2 linked regions of the Saccharomyces cerevisiae S288C genome follow. Changing the gene in region 1 together with any one later gene gives a genetic interaction. Each region holds a gene or a part of one and is shown in the gene's direction. Other genes may lie near its edges.

The links.
Region 2: mutations in KRE9 (region 1) and KRE6 are lethal when combined (synthetic lethality), as found in Saccharomyces cerevisiae (one study listed by BioGRID).

What each region holds. Positions count from the first base shown.
Region 1 is NC_001142.9:93,136-96,706, forward strand, and holds KRE9 (Kre9p), read left to right. Parts: upstream 1-1,956; coding exon 1,957-2,787; downstream 2,788-3,571. Other genes in the region: SWI3 (Swi3p), read right to left, coding at 1-1,395; RFA3 (Rfa3p), read right to left, coding at 3,026-3,394. UniProt on the Saccharomyces cerevisiae protein: Involved in cell wall beta(1->6) glucan synthesis.
Region 2 is NC_001148.4:855,978-860,546, forward strand, and holds KRE6 (beta-glucan synthesis-associated protein KRE6), read left to right. Parts: upstream 1-1,605; coding exon 1,606-3,768; downstream 3,769-4,569. Other genes in the region: YPR158C-C (gag protein), read right to left, coding at 1-280; YPR159C-A (uncharacterized protein), read right to left, coding at 4,337-4,438. UniProt on the Saccharomyces cerevisiae protein: Involved in the synthesis of (1->6)- and (1->3)-beta-D-glucan polymers of the yeast cell wall in vivo. It is required for full activity of beta-glucan synthase in vitro.

The sequences.
Region 1 (3,571 bases):
ATCATATTTTCTTTTGCTTTCTTTCAAATATTTATATAAAGTACTCTCCGAATCACTAGTGTTCATCATTTTTTTAAGCTTTGCCATATCCGGCAGTTGTACAGATGGTTTGTAACTTTCGAATGGGAATAGTCCTCTGGGGGCATCATGCCTTGTGGAATATTGAGACGTTAGTGGGGGTTCGATGTTCTTAGGTAATAGTTTGGAGTCAACCTGATAGTTTATTAGCCCCCATTTTGTTAAGAATTTATGCAATCTGAATAATGCAGCAGCATCACCAGAGACGTTTCTCCTCGCCGTAGTGACACTGAAATATTCGTTGGGGTTCAGCCTGTAAGAATTTACCATGAAGTTTCTGTATCTCATGTAAACTTCAGGTGTCTTTGATGGAATCCTATTGGTGAAAAATTCAGGTAACGATTGAACTTCAATGGAATGAATTTTTTCTAGATTGAACCATTTAGAATAACTTGGAATAACAATTTCATGTGCTTGCGGTATCTCAAAAGTTTCGGGTTCTACTCTGGTGATAGTGGTTTTCTTTGGATTGGCACTTTTGGAGTGATCGTTCATGATTTCACGTTCCTGTTCGTTTCTCTCTTCGCCACTATCTACCTTCTTATCTACACTTTCCGTCTTTTCTATGATATCCTCCTGTTCAGCTTTATGCGCATCTGGAATTTCAGATGGAGTATTAGCAACCGACGAAGTGTTGCCTAGTTGTTTAGACTCACTCTTTGTGTCTCCAAAAATGGAATTATCAGGACTAATCATCGGTTGATCGTCATCCTCATCATCTTCTTCCACTTCATCCATTTCCTTTGTGTTCTCATCTGGCTGACTTTCTTCTTTGACACCTTCAATAACAGTGTTATTCTCTGGTTCTTCCTCTTTTTGTATTTTGACGTCCTCCATGTTTTTAACGTCACCATTTGAATCCTGTATTGTGCTGTCTTCCTTAATAGCAGGCTTATTGTTTTCATTGTCTACCGGGTTCGTAGGTATACTAGGAGTGTTTGCCTCATTGTTCGAAACAGAACTCTCGGTTTCGCCAAAGAGATTATCACTATCCTCATTATCTTGGCCAAAGACGTTCTGGGCCCTGCTTTCTTCTGTAGAAGGTGTTTCCTGGGAATCTAGCTTATTCGCTTGCATAGTCGGCTGCTGCTTTGCCGTTACCGTTATCGCCTCACTTTCTGCATCGCGTGTGTTCGGAACAGTTGCTTCATCCTTCAGAGACTCATCTTGTTGCTGCGATTCTTCACCAGCAGTATCTGTATTGGCAACCCCTGCCACAGCTGCATTAGCGTTGCTATCACTATTGTTGTCATTGCCATGTTGGTCCACGTCCACGGAAGCGTTTACCGTGGACCCCTCACCCAGTGTATTCTCCATGCTTGCAAACCGTATCACAATTGGTCTCTGAACGCGCCTCGATGTACCAATATATCGCGCCTTGCATGGCCTTTACACATTCCTCTTGCGTATCTGATATAGTTTGTTTTCGTCTTTTCGCCAATGGCCTAAACGCCAAACGTCCGGCCTCGTTATTCGTGATGCCTACTTAATGGCTCTTAAATCGAATTTAAACTAGCTCAAAAGTAATCAATTCAAACTAAAATAACATCATTGGCCATCCTGAATTGTTGGATGCCATCTAAACTGCGTATTGACCATTATTCCATCGTAACCACGGCGGTTCAATATAATATCACTTTTGACGATTAGGTGTTTTATTTACATTTCTTTTTTTTTTTCCTCGAAAAAGATCTTCAAGGATAATACAGGAATAGAACAGGAGTCTCAAAGCATTCTTGAAGCCAGATTTGCTCCAGTTTGATAGTTCCAAGAAGCGCTAAAAGTGGCAGTTCACACTTTGTTTTGATTACTAGGAATCTACTCTTTCGCTTTTTACTTCCTTCTCAGAGAATCAGCAACTGTGACATATTATAGATAATGCGTTTACAAAGAAATTCCATCATATGTGCTTTGGTGTTTTTAGTCTCATTTGTGCTGGGAGATGTGAATATTGTTTCCCCCAGCTCCAAGGCAACATTCAGTCCAAGTGGTGGTACTGTCTCTGTTCCCGTTGAATGGATGGATAATGGGGCATATCCCTCGTTAAGCAAGATTTCAACTTTCACGTTCAGTCTTTGTACTGGTCCTAATAACAACATTGACTGTGTGGCCGTACTTGCCAGTAAAATTACTCCAAGTGAGCTAACACAAGATGATAAAGTTTACTCTTACACAGCTGAGTTTGCTTCGACCTTAACTGGGAACGGTCAATATTACATTCAAGTTTTTGCCCAGGTGGACGGTCAAGGTTACACTATCCATTATACACCAAGATTCCAGTTGACTTCCATGGGCGGTGTTACGGCTTATACATATAGTGCCACAACTGAACCTACTCCCCAGACTTCTATTCAAACAACCACTACAAACAACGCCCAAGCCACTACTATTGACAGTCGTTCATTTACTGTTCCGTACACCAAGCAGACTGGTACGTCGCGTTTCGCTCCAATGCAAATGCAGCCAAATACTAAAGTGACCGCTACCACATGGACAAGGAAATTTGCCACTAGTGCTGTGACATATTACTCTACCTTTGGGTCATTGCCAGAGCAAGCAACTACGATAACTCCTGGCTGGTCTTATACGATATCATCGGGAGTAAACTACGCTACTCCTGCATCTATGCCTTCAGATAATGGTGGTTGGTACAAACCATCCAAGAGATTGTCTTTGTCTGCAAGGAAAATCAACATGAGAAAAGTATGAAAAATAGACGGCTTCTACTATCATCATTACAGTAAGGGTTGAAGTCAGGAAAGGTTAAAAATAAAATAAATATCAAAAAGTTTTTAGCGGAAGGCGTTAAGGCAGCAAGTACACATTCATTTATCTATCTATACATCTATAAACACAACTACAATTTTTTTAGAAATGGAATTTATTATATGAAGGGAAGACATATAGAGGCAACAGTACATAAAGGTAAGAATAAAAGCGATTTTAGCTAGTATATTTCTGGGTATTTCTTACATAGTCTCTGTAAAGCAACCACACCGTTTAAGCTTAAATCTTCGTTCTCCTTGAATTTGCATAGTACAGCGTCTAGAATCAAAAATCCTAGCTCGCCGTCATCATTGTTCCTGCAAACAAACTCATACCACGAGTCGATCTCAAATGTTTTATTCATAGATACACGAATATTGTTCAACGTAATCATTTCAACCTCGCTGCCGTTTTTCGATGATATGGTTGGCGATTGTAAAATCAACTGAGATTCAGTGGGTTGTGATTTGATTTGCGCTATTATCCTAAACACAGGAGCATTGACGTTGGAGATTTCTGTGGGGTCAACTCTTGGTGTTTCGCTGGCCATTTTTACTTGTGTTACTGGTAGACGATGTTCTACAAGAATGGTGAAGGGTGTGTTATATTGCTCTTTATTTAAACACGAACGAAAAAAATATCGCGTATTGCCACATTTGGCGCGTCAATATTAAAGAACGAAGGCATTATATAGGGCGACTTGTCATGATTCCAACCATGGCATGGG
Region 2 (4,569 bases), on another chromosome or scaffold:
TTTGGGTCATCATGCACTGCTGTGGGTACGGCCCATTCTGTGGAGGTGGTACTGAAGCAGGTTGAGGAGAGGCATGATGGGGGTTCTCTGGAACAGCTGATGAAGCAGGTGTTGTTGTCTGTTGAGAGTTAGCCTTAGTAGAAGCCTTCTCACATTCTTCTGTTTTGGAAGCTGAAACGTCTAACGGATCTTGATTTGTGTGGACTTCCTTAGAAGTAACCGAAGCACAGGCGCTACCATGAGAAATGGGTGAATAATTAGATAATTGTTGGGATTCCATTGTTGATAAAGGCTATAATATTAGGTATACAGAATATACTAGAAGTTCTCCTCGAGGATATAGGAATCCTCAAAATGGAATCTATATTTCTACATACTAATATTACGATTATTCCTCATTCCGTTTTATATGTTTATATTCATTGATCCTATTACATTATCAATCCTTGCGTTTCAGCTTCCTCTAACATCGATGACAGCTTCTCATAACTTATGTCATCATCTTAACACCGTATATGATAATATATTGATAATATAACTATTAGTTGATAGACGATAGTGGATTTTTATTCCAACACAAAATGAGATATGTCAGTATGACAATACGTCATCCTGAACGTTCATAAAACACATATGAAACAACCTTATAACAAAACGAACAACATGAGACAAAACCCGTCCTTCCCTAGCTGAACTACCCAAAAGTATAAATGCCTGAACAATTAGTTTAGATCCGAGATTCCGCGCTTCCACCACTTAGTATGATTCATATTTTATATAATATATAAGATAAGTAACATTCCGTGAATTAATCTGATAAACTGTTTTGACAACTGGTTACTTCCCTAAGACTGTTTATATTAGGATTGTCAAGACACTCCGGTATTACTCGAGCCCGTAATACAACAATTTACAACAAGATTCGGGCGTGTGGCGTAGTCGGTAGCGCGCTCCCTTAGCATGGGAGAGGTCTCCGGTTCGATTCCGGACTCGTCCATTTTAATTTTTGATTATGGAATACAAAATGTATATTTCGTATAAAATTATCTTTATTGTTTTTGTGGCTTAGTGATTTTCATTCCCCTCTTTTCTTTTTCCTCTCAGCCTGCAAGTGTGACGCGATCTGAAAGGCGTTTTACCCGCAAAACGCCAAAGAATCATCCTGAAGCGGTAAATTCTAGACTTCAGATCACATACGCTCTATTTGGACAGTTTTTTTTTTTTTTTCATATTCCTGATCAGATGAAAGTTAACGCTATTTTTGGTGAAAACACAGAATAAAACAGCTTCTGATAAAATTTAACTAGGAACGTCGAAAACAACAACCGTTAAAATATTTTTAGCTTACAGAAGCACTTAAGAATCACTAACGTTTTCTTCTTTTTTTATTTTCAGTCCAAAGCTTTCGTATTGCTGCAAGTGCTCGAGAAAGCTGCATATTGTTATTGTATTCGTCCTCTCGTACTAGTGTTCATTACTTTATCGTCTATAAATATATTGTTGTTAGAATTTTTCTACTAAGGCAAGTTAGTAGTTGCACAACATTTCTCTCGTTAAATCATCTAAAGTTTACAGAATAGGTATACCACTCACTCCTTTACTCTAATGCCTTTGAGAAATCTAACTGAAACGCACAACTTTAGTAGCACAAACCTGGACACAGATGGTACAGGCGACGATCATGATGGTGCTCCTCTTTCCTCATCTCCTTCTTTTGGACAACAAAATGACAATAGCACCAACGATAATGCTGGTCTCACAAACCCTTTTATGGGGAGTGACGAAGAATCTAATGCGCGGGATGGAGAATCTCTGTCTTCTTCTGTTCATTATCAGCCACAGGGGAGTGACTCTTCACTACTTCATGACAATTCTCGTCTAGATCTAAGTCAAAATAAAGGTGTATCTGATTACAAAGGTTACTATTCCAGGAACAATAGTAGAGCTGTGAGTACGGCTAATGATAACTCATTTCTTCAGCCACCACATAGAGCTATAGCCTCTTCTCCTTCTTTGAATTCTAATTTATCGAAGAATGATATTCTCTCACCGCCAGAATTTGATAGATATCCCTTAGTGGGTTCCAGAGTCACTTCTATGACTCAACTGAACCATCATGGTCGCTCGCCAACATCATCTCCAGGAAACGAGTCGTCCGCCTCATTCTCTTCTAATCCGTTTTTGGGCGAGCAAGATTTTTCTCCATTTGGTGGGTATCCTGCTTCATCGTTCCCACTTATGATAGATGAAAAGGAAGAAGATGATTATTTACACAATCCTGACCCCGAAGAAGAGGCAAGACTGGATAGAAGGAGGTTCATAGATGACTTCAAGTACATGGATAAAAGGTCTGCTAGTGGGCTAGCTGGTGTATTGCTCTTGTTTCTGGCAGCCATCTTTATTTTTATTGTTTTGCCAGCGTTGACCTTTACCGGTGCTATTGATCACGAAAGCAACACTGAAGAAGTTACATATTTAACTCAATACCAATATCCTCAACTATCCGCCATTAGAACATCTCTGGTTGACCCAGACACACCTGATACAGCGAAGACAAGAGAAGCTATGGATGGCTCTAAGTGGGAATTAGTATTTTCTGATGAGTTTAATGCAGAAGGCAGAACATTTTATGATGGGGATGATCCATACTGGACAGCCCCTGATGTTCACTATGATGCTACTAAGGATTTAGAATGGTACAGTCCAGACGCTTCCACAACTGTGAACGGAACCTTGCAGCTGAGAATGGATGCCTTTAAGAACCATGGCTTATATTACAGATCAGGTATGTTGCAGAGTTGGAATAAGGTTTGTTTCACGCAGGGTGCTCTAGAAATCTCTGCAAATCTACCAAATTATGGCCGTGTTTCAGGTTTGTGGCCCGGTCTTTGGACTATGGGTAATTTAGGGAGGCCCGGTTATTTGGCTAGTACCCAAGGTGTCTGGCCTTATTCTTATGAATCGTGTGATGCTGGTATTACACCCAACCAAAGTTCCCCGGATGGTATTTCTTACTTGCCGGGACAAAAGTTAAGTATTTGTACTTGTGATGGTGAAGATCATCCGAATCAAGGTGTTGGTAGAGGAGCTCCAGAAATTGATGTTTTGGAAGGTGAAACTGATACTAAGATTGGTGTAGGTATAGCCTCTCAATCCTTGCAAATTGCACCTTTTGATATCTGGTACATGCCTGACTATGATTTTATCGAGGTTTACAATTTCACAACAACGACCATGAACACTTATGCTGGCGGTCCATTTCAACAAGCCGTATCTGCTGTCTCAACTTTGAACGTAACTTGGTATGAATTCGGTGAGTACGGTGGCTACTTTCAAAAATATGCCATTGAGTATCTGAACGATGACGACAATGGTTATATCCGTTGGTTTGTTGGTGATACTCCAACTTATACTATTCATGCTAAAGCCTTACATCCTGATGGTAATATTGGTTGGAGAAGAATCAGTAAAGAACCAATGTCGATTATTCTAAATCTGGGTATTTCCAACAATTGGGCTTATATTGATTGGCAGTATATTTTCTTCCCAGTGGTTATGTCGATTGACTATGTTAGAATATACCAACCAAGTAATGCTATATCCGTGACATGCGATCCAAGTGACTATCCAACATATGATTATATTCAATCGCACTTAAATGCATTCCAGAATGCAAACTTAACTACTTGGGAAGATGCTGGTTACACGTTCCCTAAGAATATCCTAACTGGTAAATGTACTAGCTCGAAGTTCAAGTTATCCTCTTAAGCGGGTATTTTGATGGTAAATCTACAAGCCCTCGGCTTTAATTATTACCATGGTCATAAAAAGTTACTTACAATGCATACATTTTTCTTTTAGGAAGAAATAAAATATAAAAGACTTATCGTTCAAATCGGGTCATAAAGGGAACTAAAGGTATACTAAGGTAAGACGGGGTTCTCATCTGCACGTAATTTTTTATTATTTTTAGTGAGGGAGAACTTTACCTCTAAGATTGTTTATATAGGTATACACATTTTTGTAAAACTGATTATTCGTTTTTTTTTTTGAAACAAGTTATTAGTACAAAAATCAAGCTCTCACTACTTACCAGTAGTTATTTTAGTAGAATATTATTAACTCTACCGAATAAGTACGATATGAGAAATTGCTGATTTACTTGTGTGTGTTCCTATTATTATCCAGGAGCGCCTCTAATCTATGCTTATAATTTTACGTTGAAAAAAAAGGAGTCTGTATAATTATTTCAAATTCATCCTTTTCTCACGGATATTGTGTACCCTATGAGGTAAATAATTGCGCTTTATTTTCTCCCTGTGTTTGCTCGCTCATCTTAAGACGAAAAAAGTAATGGAACACCTACCATCAATAGAAGTACCACACTCATGTAAATAACAAGCGCAAGTGGTTTAGTGGTAAAATCCAACGTTGCCATCGTTGGGCCCCCGGTTCGATTCCGGGCTTGCGCAGATTTTATTTTTTGCTCCCTTCTAAAGCTCTGGATGATTCACCAACTTATCCAAGGCAAGGTCCAACTACCGTTTCCTTCGATGAAAAAGACAATAG